Saccharomyces cerevisiae S288C: one gene and its partners. The protein of the gene in region 1 purifies or fractionates together with the protein of each later gene. This does not show direct contact. Each region holds a gene or a part of one and is shown in the gene's direction. Other genes may lie near its edges. The genes, in order: SPT15, TAF7, TAF2 and TAF13.

Region 1 (3,315 bases):
CTTCATGGCTTGCAGCAGCCTCACGTAGCCTGGAGAGGGCCCTAACTTAGGTGACTCGGTCGTCACTACGGCCCCCTTCAAGAGTGTTTGTTCCCACACTTTGTAAAACTCACAGAATTCAAGAATGCTCTTGTATGTCTGGATTCGTGAGTCCAGCTCATTCATCGAAACACCGCCAGCGGCAATGTTCTTAATCAGTTTCTGCGTTGTAGAATAGACTTTGGGGAGGAACTTCCTGGAAAAATTGCCCTTTTCGTCATAACAGTTCACGATGTAGCTGACACTTTGCAATAATAACAGTATGTTCTTTAATTCTTTGTAGTGGAAAATCATAGGCAACTCTACTTTCAGCGCTATCCTTGGCATGATTTTGATCACACATCCCTTACCTTCATTAGTGACTAGAGATTGCTTGTTTGTGTCAAAGAAATTTTTGAATTCGTTCAAGTGGTCCGTAATATTCCCGTCTTTACAAAGCTGGATTACCATCTCTAATGCCAACTTCCATGCATATAGCTCAGGCCCCACCGTGTGCAGCTCCGTGCTTCGCAGCTCCTGCAGAGCATCCTCGGGGATTGGGAACCTCTCATTTAGCAAGTAATTCACATAACACAGATTTAGAAACCATTTCCATTGTGACTTTTCCCGACATTGCGAGAGTAGCCCATGAAAACTCGTCTTCACCCTGCGGTGCTGTTTCAGCTTAATGCAAAGCATCACGCCGACATACTGGAATACGGATGCCCAATTTTGATACAACTCATCCTGCAAATTTACCATGTACTGGACTAATTCATTGCAATTTCTTAGTGCAATCTTATAGTGGAACTTACTGTCTCTCATAAGTGGCAAGTCATGTAACAGCAGAAACTCGCAACGCATGATCTCTTCTACCAAATCTGTGTCGCTCTGGTGCGTTTGTAACCGTTCTTTCAAACTGGAAATGTAAAGCTCTGCTAGGTCAAAATTATACGTCTCCTGTATCAATAACTCCACCATCTCAAACGTGACCTTACTATCCTCCAGAACTGAAAGCGTACATTTCGTTTTCAATAGCTGAAACATCTGGATAGACATGTTCATGAGGCCATAATACTGCTTCAACCCTTCCTCAGAACCGATTTTATTCGCAATTGAATATGCATGGTCTCTGTATTCCTGTGCTAAGTGGTATACTTGTGAAATACTAAGTTTGTCGCCAAGATTTTCCATGAATTTGTACTTCTTTCGAAATCGTTCAATTTCTACCAATACTGATTCCCCTCTGATAGCTGAGATGTCGGGATTCCCTTTGCTGATAGATCTAACTCATCTCTTTACGTATTTTAATTGTGAAGCCGTAAATAGTTATCTTCCAAGTTTCTCTTACGCGAGCTTTTTGGGAAAAGAAAAAAATTTGAAGATCTACATATAAAACATGGCTTCAAAGGATTACTAATGACTTTTTTTACCTTGATAGGTATTCTTGATGGTAAGAGTAAACAAGGGACGTGAAAATTACAGTAGTTACTGTTTTTTTTGGACTATAAGATCGGGGGAAAGATAACACATAAGAAATAAAACGACTACTAGTTAGACTGCTCTGCGGAAGAAGCAAGGAAGTAAAGGCTGCATTTTATTTTTCTTTTCTAGTCCAACATAAACAGGTGTATCAAGAGAAACTTTTTTAATTATGGCCGATGAGGAACGTTTAAAGGAGTTTAAAGAGGCAAACAAGATAGTGTTTGATCCAAATACCAGACAAGTATGGGAAAACCAGAATCGAGATGGTACAAAACCAGCAACTACTTTCCAGAGTGAAGAGGACATAAAAAGAGCTGCCCCAGAATCTGAAAAAGACACCTCCGCCACATCAGGTATTGTTCCAACACTACAAAACATTGTGGCAACTGTGACTTTGGGGTGCAGGTTAGATCTGAAAACAGTTGCGCTACATGCCCGTAATGCAGAATATAACCCCAAGCGTTTTGCTGCTGTCATCATGCGTATTAGAGAGCCAAAAACTACAGCTTTAATTTTTGCCTCAGGGAAAATGGTTGTTACCGGTGCAAAAAGTGAGGATGACTCAAAGCTGGCCAGTAGAAAATATGCAAGAATTATCCAAAAAATCGGGTTTGCTGCTAAATTCACAGACTTCAAAATACAAAATATTGTCGGTTCGTGTGACGTTAAATTCCCTATACGTCTAGAAGGGTTAGCATTCAGTCATGGTACTTTCTCCTCCTATGAGCCAGAATTGTTTCCTGGTTTGATCTATAGAATGGTGAAGCCGAAAATTGTGTTGTTAATTTTTGTTTCAGGAAAGATTGTTCTTACTGGTGCAAAGCAAAGGGAAGAAATTTACCAAGCTTTTGAAGCTATATACCCTGTGCTAAGTGAATTTAGAAAAATGTGATGGGGAAGGAGTAGACGAAAAGAAAAAAAGGTTTTCTATTTGTTCCATTTTCTCAATTATTAATGGTCCTCAAAGAAATAAAAGAAAAGGAAGAAGAAGTAATTGTAATATCAAACGGTTTTTTATAGTATATTCTTCTTATTCTATATTTATATATCAATGTTTTATAATAAGATGTTTATTCATAGCATATCTGGTGGATCGTCTCTATTAAGCGCCAGCGAGGTGTTTGCCTCTGCATTTTTCAGCAAAGCAAGCTCCCTTTCCAGCTTGAATCTATGTTCACGCTCATCCGACAATTCTTTTTCATACTTTCTTTGTGTACTCGTAAGCACTTTTTTAAACTCACTTGTCATTATTGAAAGTGAACGTGATCCAGAACCGCTTGTGGGGCTTCCTACAGAGGAAGGTGAACTTGGATCCCAAGTCACCGGCGAACTCGCTGGTGATGACATGCCGAAATTATGTCTGCTTGAATTCAGCTTGTTGTTGGCTTTTTCAAGTTCTTTATTTTCCTGCTCCAATTCGTGTAATTTCTTTTCAGTTTTACTCAAATTCGAGTGGTTGTTTAATAACTTATCTTGTAATTCTCTGTTAGTCCGCGTTAGCTTCTCGATATCTTGTACATATTCGGCACGGTCATTCTCGAATTGCTTAGTCAAGAAATTGTGTGCCAGTTGCAAATCACTAAATGCCGTTTCTAGTTCTTCTAATTTTTTAGAGGAGTCTTCCTCTTGAATTGCAGCGGCGTTAGGCGAAATAGGTGGTGATGACGTATTTTTTTCTAGACTGACGCAGGTATCCAAGATAGAATTTATCCCATTTTTCAAGAACTTCACAGGGTCATCTAATGGTATTGGCTTGATATCAATGCCTTTCTGAATGGAGTTTGACATCAAGAAGGACGTTAATTCTTGAAG
Region 2 (4,273 bases), on another chromosome or scaffold:
AAGGCAAAAGATAAGAAGAAGGTGGAAGATTTATTTGAGAGAATAATAACCAAAAAAATAACAAGGAAGCAGGCTAAGTTTTTCTTTAATAAATGGTTACAATTTGAGGAATCTGAAGGTGACGAAAAGACCATTGAATACGTTAAAGCTAAAGCTACTGAGTATGTCGCTAGCCATGAATCTCAAAAAGCAGACGAATAATTCCTGATGGATTTTTAACTGTAAAGTAATATAAATGGCTAAGTTTGTAAAGTATATTTGTAAAGTACATAGAATGTAAAGTTTCAAGAAGCAATTTCTATCGATCAATTTAGCTTTGACGGTTCGTAGAGCTCCTTTTCTTAAAGTTTTAGTTCCGCTTCTCGCTTCTTGATTACAAGATGGTTCCGTGTTAACGAAGATTGAGTTCTATGTATTTTTTATATTCACACGCTAAAATCACATATTTATTAAATAATGAAGTAAATTTTAAAAGCACTTTTTTCAACCAGAGTGCTCTGTTTGATACATATCAACAAAATCCATTAAAATATCTGGTTTGAAAGGCCACTCCATGAATAATTTCGTTAGATATATAAACTCGTCATTTGTCAAATCAATCGGACACTTTTTTAGCAGATCTTTGTCAGTGATTCTACTATTAAAATATTGTTGGCCACCATGTCCCAGCGAGTCCATGACAGTATTCAAGGGTGTTCTTTTCAAAATCATTAAGTGCCTCGTGACATAATCCCAATTATCTACGTCAAAATCGAAGTCAATTGGGTCCATTTCTACTAACGCAATTGGCTTTCCCTTTGTAGGCCATATTTCCGCAGCACTAAATAAAATGGGATCCCATTCTTCTATGCATTGACTATCAAATCCCTTCAATTCATTTGCGTCTGATATGGCAATGAGTTTAGTATCTGTAAATGCCTCCCTTACTACTGAACATTTGGATCTAGAATGCATGCCTGGCCTAGCTAGAAGTTTTCTAGCTGTTGTGCTTGGCATCCATAATAACATCTTTACTTTACCAAACCTATACAACCAGTTCTTGTTTCCAATACAGGACAGCCACTGCATTATAAGACCTTCAGAACCCTCCCCCGTCACATTAGCAACGGTTAGAAATTTATCATTAATATGATCTGAGGATTGAACTTCAGGAACAAATATTCGCTCTTCGTCAATTAGATTCGAGTAGGTTGACCAGTCATATGGATCTCTTTTTAGAATTTGCAATGGAGACCCTTCGAATTTTGCATTCAGAAACTTGTAGAGACTTGAGCGTTTTTCTAATAAAGAATATTGCCTGGGGCAATATTTATTATAAAAAATAGCTGATTGTATACCAACACCAGGGTAGAGGTCAAGTACTTTCAATTCTTCTGGATGTTTATACGTTTTAGTTAAATCCAGCTTATCAAAGATTTTATTGTATACTGTTGGATTCCATAAATATTTGAAACCATAAAAGAACTTAAGTTTGGAGATATCTTTAATACCAGGGATTGGAACAGACATAGTTGCTGAGCCTTCTTACTTCAAAGAATGGTATTGACTGACGTAGTAACCGCATTTGTAAAGTTTCATCTCTATTATCATCATACAATAATATCGCTGTTATTCGGCCGATGAGAACAGTAAATAAAATTTCAAGACAAAACTTGCTAGCAAAAATAATAAAAGCGAGAAGAATAGGAAGAACTACATAAACAAGAGACAGTGTTACCATTCAAATTAGTCGCAATAATCGACGTAAATATGGCTGTTATAAGAATTAAAAAACCCAGAGGACCAGGAGAGAAGGATCAACCATTAGAAGGCGAGCCTAAACTAAAGAGAATTCGCATAAAGACAAAGGTAACTGATGAAGATATCAAACCAAAGCCTAAATTAAAGATAAACCTAAAGAAAAAGAAAGAGAGTGCTGACGGCAAAGAGAAGAAGAATTCATTGAAGTTAAAGTTAAACTTGAAAAAAAATGAAGAACCAGTTAAGAAGATACACAAGGCGCCAAAGCTACGTCTCAAACCTATTAGAATTCCTGGGGAAGCGTACGACTCAGAAGCCTCTGATATTGAAGATGACCCTCTCATAGAGAGTGGTGTGATATTAAGGATACTTCCAGACATACAGTTAGAGTTTGTAAAAAATTCGTTAGAATCAGGTGATTATTCTGGGATAAGTATCAAGTGGAAAAACGAGAGACACGCTGTCGTAACAATAAACGATGTAATGTATGGTGCCATTCTAGTAGATTTGCCTACAGTTATAGAAGTGAACAAGAGCGTCGATAGAAAAAACCTCCTGAAGACATTTGACGTATCACAAATGCTACTATGCATAAGACCTATACAAGAAGAGGAAGAAGTATATGCCCTAGAAGCCCCTGATACAGAAGATCTGGTTGTTAAGCATTTTGAAGGCATAGAGGATGAAATTTGGGAGAATAAAGAAACCTTCTTAAAAGGATACAATGGTGCGCCTTTAAGTGATATGGAGGCTAAACATTTGAAAGAAATAGCTTTGAAGGGCTATGACTACAAACATGGAATATCACCACCTTTGTACAATGTTCGAAATAGACGATTTAGACGGAAAATGGACCCTAATGAAATAGACTATGTAGAAAAAGTGGTTGATATGCTTTTGAAGCAAGATAAACAGGCAGAAGAGGTCAGCTATGATCTGGTTGATAAAAGTGAACTGCAAGCGAGGCAAGAGCGTGTTTCTAGTTGGGAAAATTTCAAAGAGGAGCCTGGAGAGCCTTTATCTAGACCTGCTTTAAAGAAAGAAGAGATACACACAATTGCTTCGGCAGTAGGAAAACAAGGTGCAGAAGAAGAGGGAGAAGAAGGAATGGAAGAAGAAGAAGAGGAGGATCTTGACCTAGGCGCTGCTTTTGAAAGTGAAGAGGAAGGTAGCGGTGCCGAGGGAGACAAGGAGCAACAACAAGAGGAAGTCGGTGATGAGGTGGATCAAGACACAGGCGGAGAAGATGATGACGATGATGACGACGGTGACATTGAAGCTGCTGGTGGGGAAAGTGAATCTGATGACGAAAAAGACGAAAACAGACAGCACACTGAATTACTTGCGGACGAATTGAACGAACTAGAGACCACCCTGGCCCATACCAAGCATAAATTAAGTAAAGCCACGAATCCTCTTTTGAAAAGCAGGTTCATAGATAGCATTAAAAAGCTCGAGAAGGAGGCTGAACTAAAACGTAAGCAGTTACAACAAACCGAAGATTCTGTCCAGAAACAACATCAACATCGCTCTGACGCAGAAACTGCAAATAACGTCGAGGAAGAAGAAGAGGAAGAGGAAGAAGAAGAGGAAGAGGATGAAGTGGACGAAGACGAGGAGGATGACGAAGAAAACGATGAGGACGAGGATAATGTGCATGAACGGGAACACATACAAGAGAACAAGGTGGTGCGCGAACTTGATGAAGCCCCCGCAGAGGAAACACTCGACCAGAACGATCTCGATATGATGATGCTATTTGGTGCAGAGGGTGATGAGTAAGTTCTCTTTATCATCTATATATTACTCTTATACACTATACGACTCTACTCTATGACGTATAGCATTGATATATATTAAGGCACGACACCGATTTTTCTTATCGGAGCGATATAAAAAGCTGAAGAAAGGAGGATAGATGAAACAGCATGGCGCATAGAAAGTGTTCAAGCTCACTAGTAAAGGCGGGAAATAGAACATTGAGAACGTATTTTGATAATGTCCCAAGGTAGAAAAGCTGCAGAAAGATTGGCTAAGAAGACTGTCCTCATTACAGGTGCATCTGCTGGTATTGGTAAGGCGACCGCATTAGAGTACTTGGAGGCATCCAATGGTGATATGAAACTGATCTTGGCTGCTAGAAGATTAGAAAAGCTCGAGGAATTGAAGAAGACCATTGATCAAGAGTTTCCAAACGCAAAAGTTCATGTGGCCCAGCTGGATATCACTCAAGCAGAAAAAATCAAGCCCTTCATTGAAAACTTGCCACAAGAGTTCAAGGATATTGACATTCTGGTGAACAATGCCGGAAAGGCTCTTGGCAGTGACCGTGTGGGCCAGATCGCAACGGAGGATATCCAGGACGTGTTTGACACCAACGTCACGGCTTTAATCAATATCACACAAGCTGTACTGCCCATATTCCAAGCCAAGAATTCAGGAGATATTGTAAATTTGGGTTCAATCGCTGGCAGAGACGCATACCCAACAGGTTCTATCTATTGTGCCTCTAAGTTTGCCGTGGGGGCGTTCA
Region 3 (6,739 bases), on another chromosome or scaffold:
ATTTGATCATAACGGAGAAGCTAGATTACTTTTTCGCAGGTTTAACTGTCCTAACAGGGTTTCATGCAATATTTGCAAGAATGACTTCCATGTTCCTGTACCCCAAGATAGCACAAGCGTTCACTGCGTCAGTTGCGGCAATCTTTGCCCTGCACATCTTGAGACTCTATGTTGACTGGTCGTACACATACAACATGAGATTCAACATTTTTTTCGGTGTTTTACAGTATATTTTATTGATAATGTTATCATGCCAAAACTACCATGCTCTGCAAAAGCAAAAGCTAATGGGCGAATTCAAGAAAACCGCGTACTCCAGCTTCAAGCGGCAAATCTTCAAACTGTGTGTCATTCCAATTCTTCTTGTGATTGTAACCACAATGGCCATGTCATTGGAACTGTTTGACTTTTTTAGTTACGAATGGCAGATTGATGCCCATGCGCTATGGCATCTGTGCACAATATGGCCCTCGTGGGTATTGTACGACTTTTTCCTCGAGGATTATGCCTATTGGGGTAATAGACAATTGTACTAAATATCTTAATTCACCTGTTTACTATCATGAATAATAGTTATATATGTATTTTTTTTTGTTTATTTTTGATTTTCTTTTACCGTTATCACATTCTGTTTATTTTTCACTTTTTTTTCGCTCTTTCTGTATGTATAGAACTAAATGCAAAAGAATATTTGTGCCAAGATAAGGCCAAGAAATTTTTGGGGCAACAGTAGGCAGTGAAAGCGCTCTTAACGTACTTTGGCAAAGGATGATCCCAGCTCCACTTGATGCTTCCTTATTGAGAGAACATGCATTCCAAGGAACTAATGATCTAAGCACAGTTTTGAGTCCAAGTACGTTTACCGATGAAGGTGGATATAAACCTGTATTGAAATACGGACTCGGTTATTTCAATTATGGACTGGTTATAGACGATGAAGTGTATGATTATTCAGTGTGTGATATCATAAGGGGTCACGTTTACGATCATTTTTGGTGTTATTTCTGTTGTTTCATGATTTTGTTTACTATCTGGTTAATAAGTTTAAATTGGTGTCCCAGCAGCAAGAAAAGCAAGTTTGATTGGAGCAAGAAGAAGGACGACTTTAAGATGGAAGGAGGTGATTTAGAGTACCAACATGTAAAGATCTAAATCTACATCGTTCTCAGGACGACTTATTACTGCTGGTTTCGAAGGAATAACAATGCATTTTTTTATCCCACCATTTTCCTCGTTTATTACAAAAAGCAATGAAATAATATGTATATGTCTACATAGAGATATTATTATAGTAATAATGCATTTTCTATTTGATTTTAATTTAATTTATTTTATTTTTTTTGGATGTTTAAAGTTGAAAATAATAAAATGATTAACTATTGACAGAGGGGTAAGTGGGGTTGTTACCTTTTTCCTTTTGGTTAAAGGAATAAATGTTTTCTTATAACATAAAAAAAGCTATAGTTATATAAACAAGGATTGCGAATTCTTAGAAACATATTCCATGGTTATTTTTTTTATTTTTTACTGCATTCAATTATTTGAAGAAACTGTCCATCAAACATAAGTTTCTTGATAATGTGCTGTTTGTAGTGAACTAGAATTGTTATAATAATATGCTGCAATTTTTATCAGATTGCTTCAAAATCTGAGTGATAATTGTATTTTTTTTATTTATTTAATCCAAGAGTTATTCTAAAATCGCACTAAAATTAGTAAAAAAATCAAAAAAAAAAAAGCTGCAGACATCTAAAATGGTTGTGAATCATTCTTGCGGATATCGTGCTACAAAATCAGTCTTATTTAATTCAATAAAATACATAGAACTTTCAATATAGTGAATATTTTTGGTATTACCTTAAGTAACCGGGTAACACTTAAATACTTTTGCCGAATGGGGCAATTGGTAAATTGCGTAAGATGAAAACTATAGTAAAATGGAACGGATGTAAAAGTATTTTTTGATGAAGTTTTGGACAGTGAAGAGGTGACAACAGGATAAATAGGTGGACTTCATGATGTCCTTTTCCAAAAACGCCACTCCTAGAGCCATTGTTAGTGAATCTAGCACTTTGCATGAGATGAAGTTTAGAAATTTTAGAGTTGCCCATGAAAAAATCTCGTTGGATATAGATCTAGCTACTCACTGCATTACCGGTAGCGCTACTATAATAATCATTCCGTTGATCCAAAACCTAGAATATGTAACTTTTGATTGCAAGGAAATGACTATTAAAGATGTTCTGGTCGAAAATCGTCGATGTGATCAATTTATTCATGACGACCCACTTCAAACAAATTTGAATGGATTGACTTCACAAAATGTATTATACAGCGACAATTCCATTGAACAGTCACATTTTTTGAGATCTAAGTTTGCTAGCTTGAATGAATACCCAGAAACGGACTCTAAATCCCAGTTAACTATAAAAATACCATCTTCCATCAAAATATCTTTGGAGGACGCCAATGCATTAAGTAATTACACTCCGATTACTCCTTCAATTAAGACTACCCCTGGGTTTCAAGAATCTGTTTTCACTCCAATTACATTACAAATTGAATATGAAATCAGAAACCCAAAGTCGGGTATTAAATTCGATACTGTGTATGCTGACAAGCCCTGGTTATGGAACGTTTACACTTCAAATGGTGAGATTTGCAGTTCTGCATCATATTGGGTCCCATGTGTCGATTTGCTTGATGAAAAATCTACATGGGAGTTAGAATTCAGCGTACCGAGATTGGTTAAAAATATAGGTACTTCGAAATTAATCGGACAAAATGGAGAAGAGAGTGAAAAAGAGAAGGAGGATACGCCTGAGCACGATGAAGAGGAAGAGGGGAAGCCGGCAAGAGTTATCAAAGACGAAGATAAGGATTCTAACTTGAAAAATGACGAAGAAGGCAAAAATAGTAAAAGCAAAGATGCACAAGATAATGATGAAGAAGAAGAGGAAGGCGAAAGTGACGAAGAGGAAGAGGAAGGGGAAGAGGAAAGGCGGAATATTGAGGAAAGCAACAATCCGAGTTTGAGGGATGTGATTGTGTGTTGTTCAGAATATTCAAATATTAAAGAACTTCCGCACCCGATTGATTTGACGAAAAAAAAATGCATATTTCAGATAATTAATCCTGTGGCTCCACATCACATTGGTTGGGCTATAGGCGCCTTTAATTCATGGTCTTTACCTTTGATATCACCTCCAAGTGTTGATGCCGAGGACGAAGTAGAGGAAGACAAGTTGAGAGAGAATGTTGTGGACAATGTTAACGATACTATGGATGACGACATTGGTTCGGATATTATACCCATTCAAATTTTCACACTTCCGACGCAGGAAACAGATGAGTTAACAGTTATAAATTCGACAGTTGTCTGCCAAAAAATTATAGATTTCTACTCGAAAGAATTTGGGTCTTATCCTTTCACTTGTTACTCTATGGTGTTTTTACCTACCGCACCTTCTAAGCATATGGATTTTGCAGCATTAGGCATTTGTAATACCAGATTATTGTACCCTCTAGAAGTTATTGATAAAGCATTCAGTACTACGAATGAGTTAGCATGGGCACTTGCTAACCAATGGTCTTGTGTGAATATAACTCCTTTAGATATGAACGACTACTGGTGCTGTCTTGGTATTGCTGGTTATATGGTGTTTCAGGTAACCAAAAAATTAATGGGTAATAACACGTATAAATATCAATTAAAGCGTAATAGTGAGGCGATTGTGGAACAAGACTTCGAGAAACCGCCTATTGGGAGCACTTTTACCGGCAGTTCTAGGCCAATATCTTGGTCTTCTAAAGATTTGTCCTTTATACAATTGAAGGCACCGATGATACTACACATACTTGACAGAAGGATGACTAAAACAGAACGATCTTTCGGTATGTCTCGAGTATTACCTAAAATTTTCCTTCAAGCTATGTCTGGTGATTTACCGAATAATTCGTTGACTTCATCGCATTTTCAACATGTTTGCGAAAGAGTTAATAAAAGTAAATTAGAGAATTTTTTCAACGAATGGGTATATGGGTCTGGGGTACCCATATTACGTGTCACCCAAAGATTTAATAGGAAGAGGATGGTTATAGAACTGGGTATAAGGCAAGTTCAAGATGAAGAACTTGGCCACGAAAAAGTGGTAGGGGAGGAAGGATTTTTCAAAAGTGCACTAGACCACTTAGAACATCCAGATTTGAACCGAACCGAATGCTTCACGGGCTCGATGACTATAAGGATCCATGAACACGATGGTACTCCGTATGAGCATATTGTGGAAATCAAAGATACATTCACAAAAATAGATATTCAGTACAATACAAAGTACAGAAGATTAAGGAAAAGAGGTGGTGGTGCAAATGATGAAAATGGTGTTGAAAACAATAATGAGGAGAAGCCTATTGTTGTGGATGTGAATTGTCTAGGAAATGTATACATGTCGCCCGAAGAGTGTTCCCGATTCAGTTTGACGGAATTTAATCGTACGTCTGAGAGTAATGAATTGCTTAAGCAAAACGAAGCATTTGAGTGGATACGCATAGACTCTGATCTGGAATGGATTTGCCAAATGCACATTAATCAGCCGGATTACATGTTTTCTTCTCAGTTGAGACAAGATGGGGACATAGAGGCCCAACTAGAAGCCATACGATATTATGAGGACGTCGTTGTTAATGGTGGTGTGAAATCACTTGTTTATTCAAGTATTTTGTTTAGAACGGCGATCGACGAGCGTTACTTTTTTGGCATAAGACTCGCGGCGTGCGAAGCGCTTAGTAAATACGTATATGATCCGGATTTTACTGGCGGTGTTAAGCATTTAATTCAGATTTTTCAGATTTTGTTTTGCCTAGAAGACTCTAATATTCCAAAGAGTAATAACTTTGAGAATCCTAAGTTGTATTTCTTACAGTGTAATATTCCCAAATATTTGGCTAAAGTGAAAAATGAAAATGGTAAATGTCCAAAATTGGTGAAGCAATTTTTACTGGATATTCTTGTTTATAATGAGAATGGTGAAAATAAATACAGTGATGATGCGTACGTCCGCAGCTTGATTGAAAATGTTGTTAAAGTTGCTTTAAATGAGTATAAAGATAAAGCATATATGGAAAAAGTTAAGACTCAGTTATTGAGGTACGAAAATTTGGTGAATTGGCTTTCATCATACGAGTCTTTGATTAAGACTACTATCATGTATGCTAAGTACAAATTGCATAAAGTGGGTGCTTATGACTTTACGGAATTGACAGGAATGATAATGCATACATTAACATTAGGTATAAATAACGGAGATATTTCCAGGGAAAGCTTTCAGAATGAGTTTTTAATGGTTTTGAAAATCATGCTTTTAGAAGGTGGTTTAAAAAACAAGGATGCCCTTGTTTTGTTTACTGAAATACTTTGCTTCCATGAGGATTCTTATATTAGGGATAAAAGTGTTGATGTGCTTTCTGAATGTGTAAATCTAGTTGTTATGGATGGTAGTTTGGATACCATAAGTGACGATATTAAGTCCTCCGTCCAATCTGTGCACAATGAAGTTAAAAATATAAAAAGTGAGGATGATATTGAGTTGTTTTTAAGTGGTCATTACGTCGATGATATGAAAATAAAAATAGAAAAGATTGGCCGTCAAAATATTAGTGGGTTAATACAAATATGCCGAGATATGTTTAAAGGGTATAGCCCTTTGAAGATATTACTCTGGGATGTTTTGAATTTACCTGTTCTTAGCTTGTACCAGAGGAAGCAAATACATGATCTTGTTAGGGTGATGTACACCCTAATCAACAGTTTTGTAGTTAGATTGGAAACACCAAGGGAGAGAAGACTTGTGGCGAAGATGAATAGTAATGAAGAAGGTAAACTTGATATTGTTATAAAGCGTGAAAGTATCCTAAAAGTACATATTAAAAAGGAAGTAACCTCTACTGTGGAGGCACCCAAGAAGGCGAATAAGATAAAGATAAGTTTGAAAGGTGATAAACCTGTTAGAAAAGTGGAAAAACAAATTGTGAAGCCGAAGGTAACTAGCAAACAAAGGAAAGTCAAAAGTCATGTGAACCGCATGGGCAGTTTACCTTTACGGTTTGTTAAGATCCAACAACAACCTAGAGTAATGGTGCATTTGTCATCCGTCCCGTATAGCCAATTCGTTCAAATTACAAAAGTCACATCAAGATCGTTTATGGTTAAGATAAGAACAAAGAATGATGCTAAGAATTGATTGTTTGCTTGAGTCTGAGTAATATCATATTTTATACAAATACATAGACATAAACAAAAGAGGCAAGTAGATAAGGGTATAGCCATATGAGTGTATAAACAAACATTGGGAACAAGAGCAAGACGATGGGGAGTTTCAAATAGGATAGCTATACTGACAACATTCAGTACTCGAAAGATAAACAACCTCCGCCACGACCACACTCTATAAGGCCAAATGTACAAACACATCTTCCCAATATCCGTCACCACGTACTTCAGCATAATTATTCGTCAACCACTCTACAAAACCAAAACCAGGGTTTATAAAATTATACTGTTGCGCGAAGTAGTCCCATATTCCGTGCTGCATTTTGTCCGCGTGCCATTCTTCAGCGAGCAGAGAAGACAAGACATTTTGTTTTACACCGGAGCCAAACTGTGAGTAATATGCTCTAAAAGCCATAAATGAGTTTAAATATTTCTTTGAAGATTTTATAGATGTCTTATTGAACTGTCGAA
Region 4 (2,925 bases), on another chromosome or scaffold:
GCTATCTTGAATTAACTTCAGAAACGAGAAAATCCTGTGTAAGGTTTTTGTCTTTTCAGAAATATTAGGTCTTAGTTTCATTCTTGACTCAACGAAGTCTTCACAAAGAGCCAAGTGATCCTGGCAATCTGCCATCGTCCCCCATACAACATCAATAGAGTTCATAGATAAGATCGCAGTTAGTACGTCTTTATATTTCTCAGGTATGCTTGATTTTGTGTTCAAACATAATCTTAGAAAGTTCGAGGCTTGATTTCTCAATTCGATACCTAGGCCCAGAAAGTATTTTTGTAGTTTGTAGTTCCTTGGGTACTTGCTTTGCAAGTGGAAGCAAGAGACAGCAAGAAGAGCATTCAACAACGCATTCCTCGAGTTGGAGGATTGTCCCAAACCCGCTAAATCGCCTAATGCCATCAAGGCTCTGGGGAAGTATAATGTTTTCCATGGGTTCTTTTCGAGCACGACCACTGTCATTTTATCTGCAACATTATTAAAATAATGATTTAAAAGAAATCTCGCTAAACCATGTACGGTAAGGTCTGTTTTGGGTATAATATCTACCAATTCAGGTGGTAGGTCACTGGAATAGGATGTGAGTTCTAACATGGACTTAGGCATGCGTGATTCTTCATTTGGAGGAGCTAGAGTTATTTTATTCAGATCAGATGCGGGCAGAGATCTTGGTTCAATATTGACGAACACATCGTCGATCAATGCTTGAGGGTCTGGTTCCTCACTGTTCGAAGAGTTTTTCTGGAAGAGTAACTTCAAGTTTTGCTGGTAAAGTTTATCATTGGCACTGGCTGCTTTATTAGGTAAAGTTGATGAACCTTGATTATCAGCCTCAAAGGCACATCCATGTTCTTTGGCATTCACATGCTCTTCCCCACTCACGACATTAGAGTTTTCCTCTAATGAGATTTCTTGTGGCTGTGTGTGTCCTAAGTGATGTCCCTGTAAGGTCACCGCTGACAATAATGCATCATCTCTGAGTTCACTCGAGATCCATTCGTAACCTGTTATATTCAGATTGTTCCAGTCATAATCTAAAAGATTTGGTGTTGGTGGAACACCATCATTAGCAGAGAGAATACCTGTCTTTACATGCCCTTTATTTCTCAACTTGTCTTCAATATGTCTAATTGGAAAGGAAATAGTTGAAGAAGATGGTAAAGAAGATAACGAAATAGAAGCTGAGCTCTCCAAGCTTTTGGCAACTCTTTTCCTATTGCGCTTCTTCCTTGGAGCGTACTGCTTGTCGATCTTATCTGTTCCTTTAAACACCCCAAATTTCTTTATGATCCACGTCTTGTTATCGCTTATTTTCTCAATTGGGGGAGTATGCAGCATTGTTAGCTCATCATCCATATCTTCATGATACACGTATTCTTCATCATAGCGCACAAAATCGATGTTCCGTCGTTGGTATTGTGGTTCATCGACACTACCTGATAAGTTCGTAGTAGTTGCAGGAGAATTTTGTGGGATTGGGACACCGTACGGGTCAAATTGCATAGGCTTAGACCACCGGAGTTTGATATCATAACCGCCACAAGGCAAATTAGACTTTTCACATCGTTGGCAGTGGGGATGCCGAAGATCACACTTAACTTTTCTTCCTCTGCACGTCCAACACCCAGTAAACGTCTTTGCCCTTCCCATTTTTTTAGGGCCATTCTTGCTGGAAATTCCCATTATATCTGCAACTTAAAATTTTCGAGGTACTGATATCGGTAACTATTGCCCACTAAAGCATCAAATCTAAAAGAGATGCTTTTCGCAAGGTGTATTTTTTTTTCATTTATTTTTGAGTTCTAGCGGAAACCGCAGGCGAAGAGTCATTGATAACAAAGAAGGTTCATCAACAACTGCAACATGAAATCCAAAAGGTAACGGCAGGCGAGGGTGAGCTGGATAAGATATGTCTAGGAAGCTGAAAAAAACGAATCTGTTTAACAAGGATGTAAGTTCCTTGCTTTACGCTTACGGCGATGTGCCGCAGCCACTACAAGCTACTGTGCAGTGTTTGGATGAATTGGTATCTGGATATTTGGTGGATGTTTGTACTAACGCATTCCATACAGCCCAGAATTCTCAGCGCAATAAGCTCCGATTGGAAGATTTCAAGTTTGCCCTCCGTAAAGACCCGATAAAGCTTGGGAGAGCAGAAGAACTGATAGCTACTAATAAGTTGATTACGGAAGCTAAGAAGCAGTTCAATGAGACAGACAATCAAAATTCATTAAAGAGGTACAGAGAAGAGGATGAAGAGGGTGACGAGATGGAAGAGGATGAGGATGAGCAGCAGGTGACGGATGATGATGAGGAAGCAGCGGGCCGTAATAGCGCTAAACAATCAACAGATTCGAAGGCAACAAAGATTAGGAAGCAGGGGCCTAAAAACCTCAAGAAAACAAAAAAATGATATAGCTACTTGGCAGGCCCGTTTACGTAGGCTTGATTCAGATATACGTAGTACATATGTCCCTTTGATTTATTAATTAGGCGTTTGCTCTATAAAAGGGGTTTTGAGTTTGCGTTGGTGCTGAACAAAAACACTTGTCATTACAATGGCACAATTTTGAATGCATTGTTTTCTTATTTATATATTTTTCCAAGTAAAATCTTAGGATTCAACTGGTACATTTATTCTTTTAGATTCAAAAACCCTGCTACATTAGTAACGGCAAACTCCTCCCTCTGATAGTTGTGTTGCAATACTCAGCTGTCAGCATTGGATAGTTAAGATGTATTGTTAAGTCACCGCCTGAAACAGCAACTTAAGCTCCCTTCTGTGCTTAGGAAGGTACGTGCGCCTCCTAACCCATCTATTATTTGATTCTAAGTCACAACGAGCCTGTACTAACGAGTTTTAGAAGCGATCGTTATCAGTAAAAAATGTCTCCTGCGGTAAGTTATTTTTAC

The links.
Region 2: the proteins of SPT15 (region 1) and TAF7 purify together in Saccharomyces cerevisiae (affinity purification with mass spectrometry; 5 studies listed by BioGRID, with this or other methods). This does not show direct contact.
Region 3: the proteins of SPT15 (region 1) and TAF2 purify together in Saccharomyces cerevisiae (affinity purification with western blotting; 7 studies listed by BioGRID, with this or other methods). This does not show direct contact.
Region 4: the proteins of SPT15 (region 1) and TAF13 purify together in Saccharomyces cerevisiae (affinity purification with mass spectrometry; 6 studies listed by BioGRID, with this or other methods). This does not show direct contact.

The regions. Positions count from the first base shown.
Region 1 is NC_001137.3:463,631-466,945, forward strand, and holds SPT15 (TATA-binding protein), read left to right. Parts: upstream 1-1,672; coding exon 1,673-2,395; downstream 2,396-3,315. Other genes in the region: cohesin-loading factor complex subunit SCC4, read right to left, coding at 1-1,212; PEA2 (Pea2p), read right to left, coding at 2,578-3,315. UniProt on the Saccharomyces cerevisiae protein: General transcription factor that functions at the core of the DNA-binding general transcription factor complex TFIID. Binding of TFIID to a promoter (with or without TATA element) is the initial step in preinitiation complex (PIC) formation.
Region 2 is NC_001145.3:721,862-726,134, reverse strand, and holds TAF7 (TATA-binding protein-associated factor TAF7), read left to right. Parts: upstream 1-1,749; coding exon 1,750-3,522; downstream 3,523-4,273. Other genes in the region: RRP5 (Rrp5p), read left to right, coding at 1-201; MTF1 (RNA polymerase specificity factor), read right to left, coding at 484-1,509; ORA1 (oxidoreductase), read left to right, coding at 3,739-4,273.
Region 3 is NC_001135.5:200,674-207,412, reverse strand, and holds TAF2 (transcription initiation factor TFIID subunit TAF2), read left to right. Parts: upstream 1-2,015; coding exon 2,016-6,239; downstream 6,240-6,739. Other genes in the region: PER1 (Per1p), read left to right, coding at 1-536; YCR043C (uncharacterized protein), read left to right, coding at 769-1,152; YCR041W (uncharacterized protein), read right to left, coding at 6,170-6,502; MATALPHA1 (transcriptional co-activator mating type protein alpha), read right to left, coding at 6,444-6,739. UniProt on the Saccharomyces cerevisiae protein: Functions as a component of the DNA-binding general transcription factor complex TFIID. Binding of TFIID to a promoter (with or without TATA element) is the initial step in pre-initiation complex (PIC) formation.
Region 4 is NC_001145.3:75,346-78,270, forward strand, and holds TAF13 (Taf13p), read left to right. Parts: upstream 1-1,921; coding exon 1,922-2,425; downstream 2,426-2,925. Other genes in the region: ARG81 (Arg81p), read right to left, coding at 1-1,695. UniProt on the Saccharomyces cerevisiae protein: Functions as a component of the DNA-binding general transcription factor complex TFIID. Binding of TFIID to a promoter (with or without TATA element) is the initial step in pre-initiation complex (PIC) formation.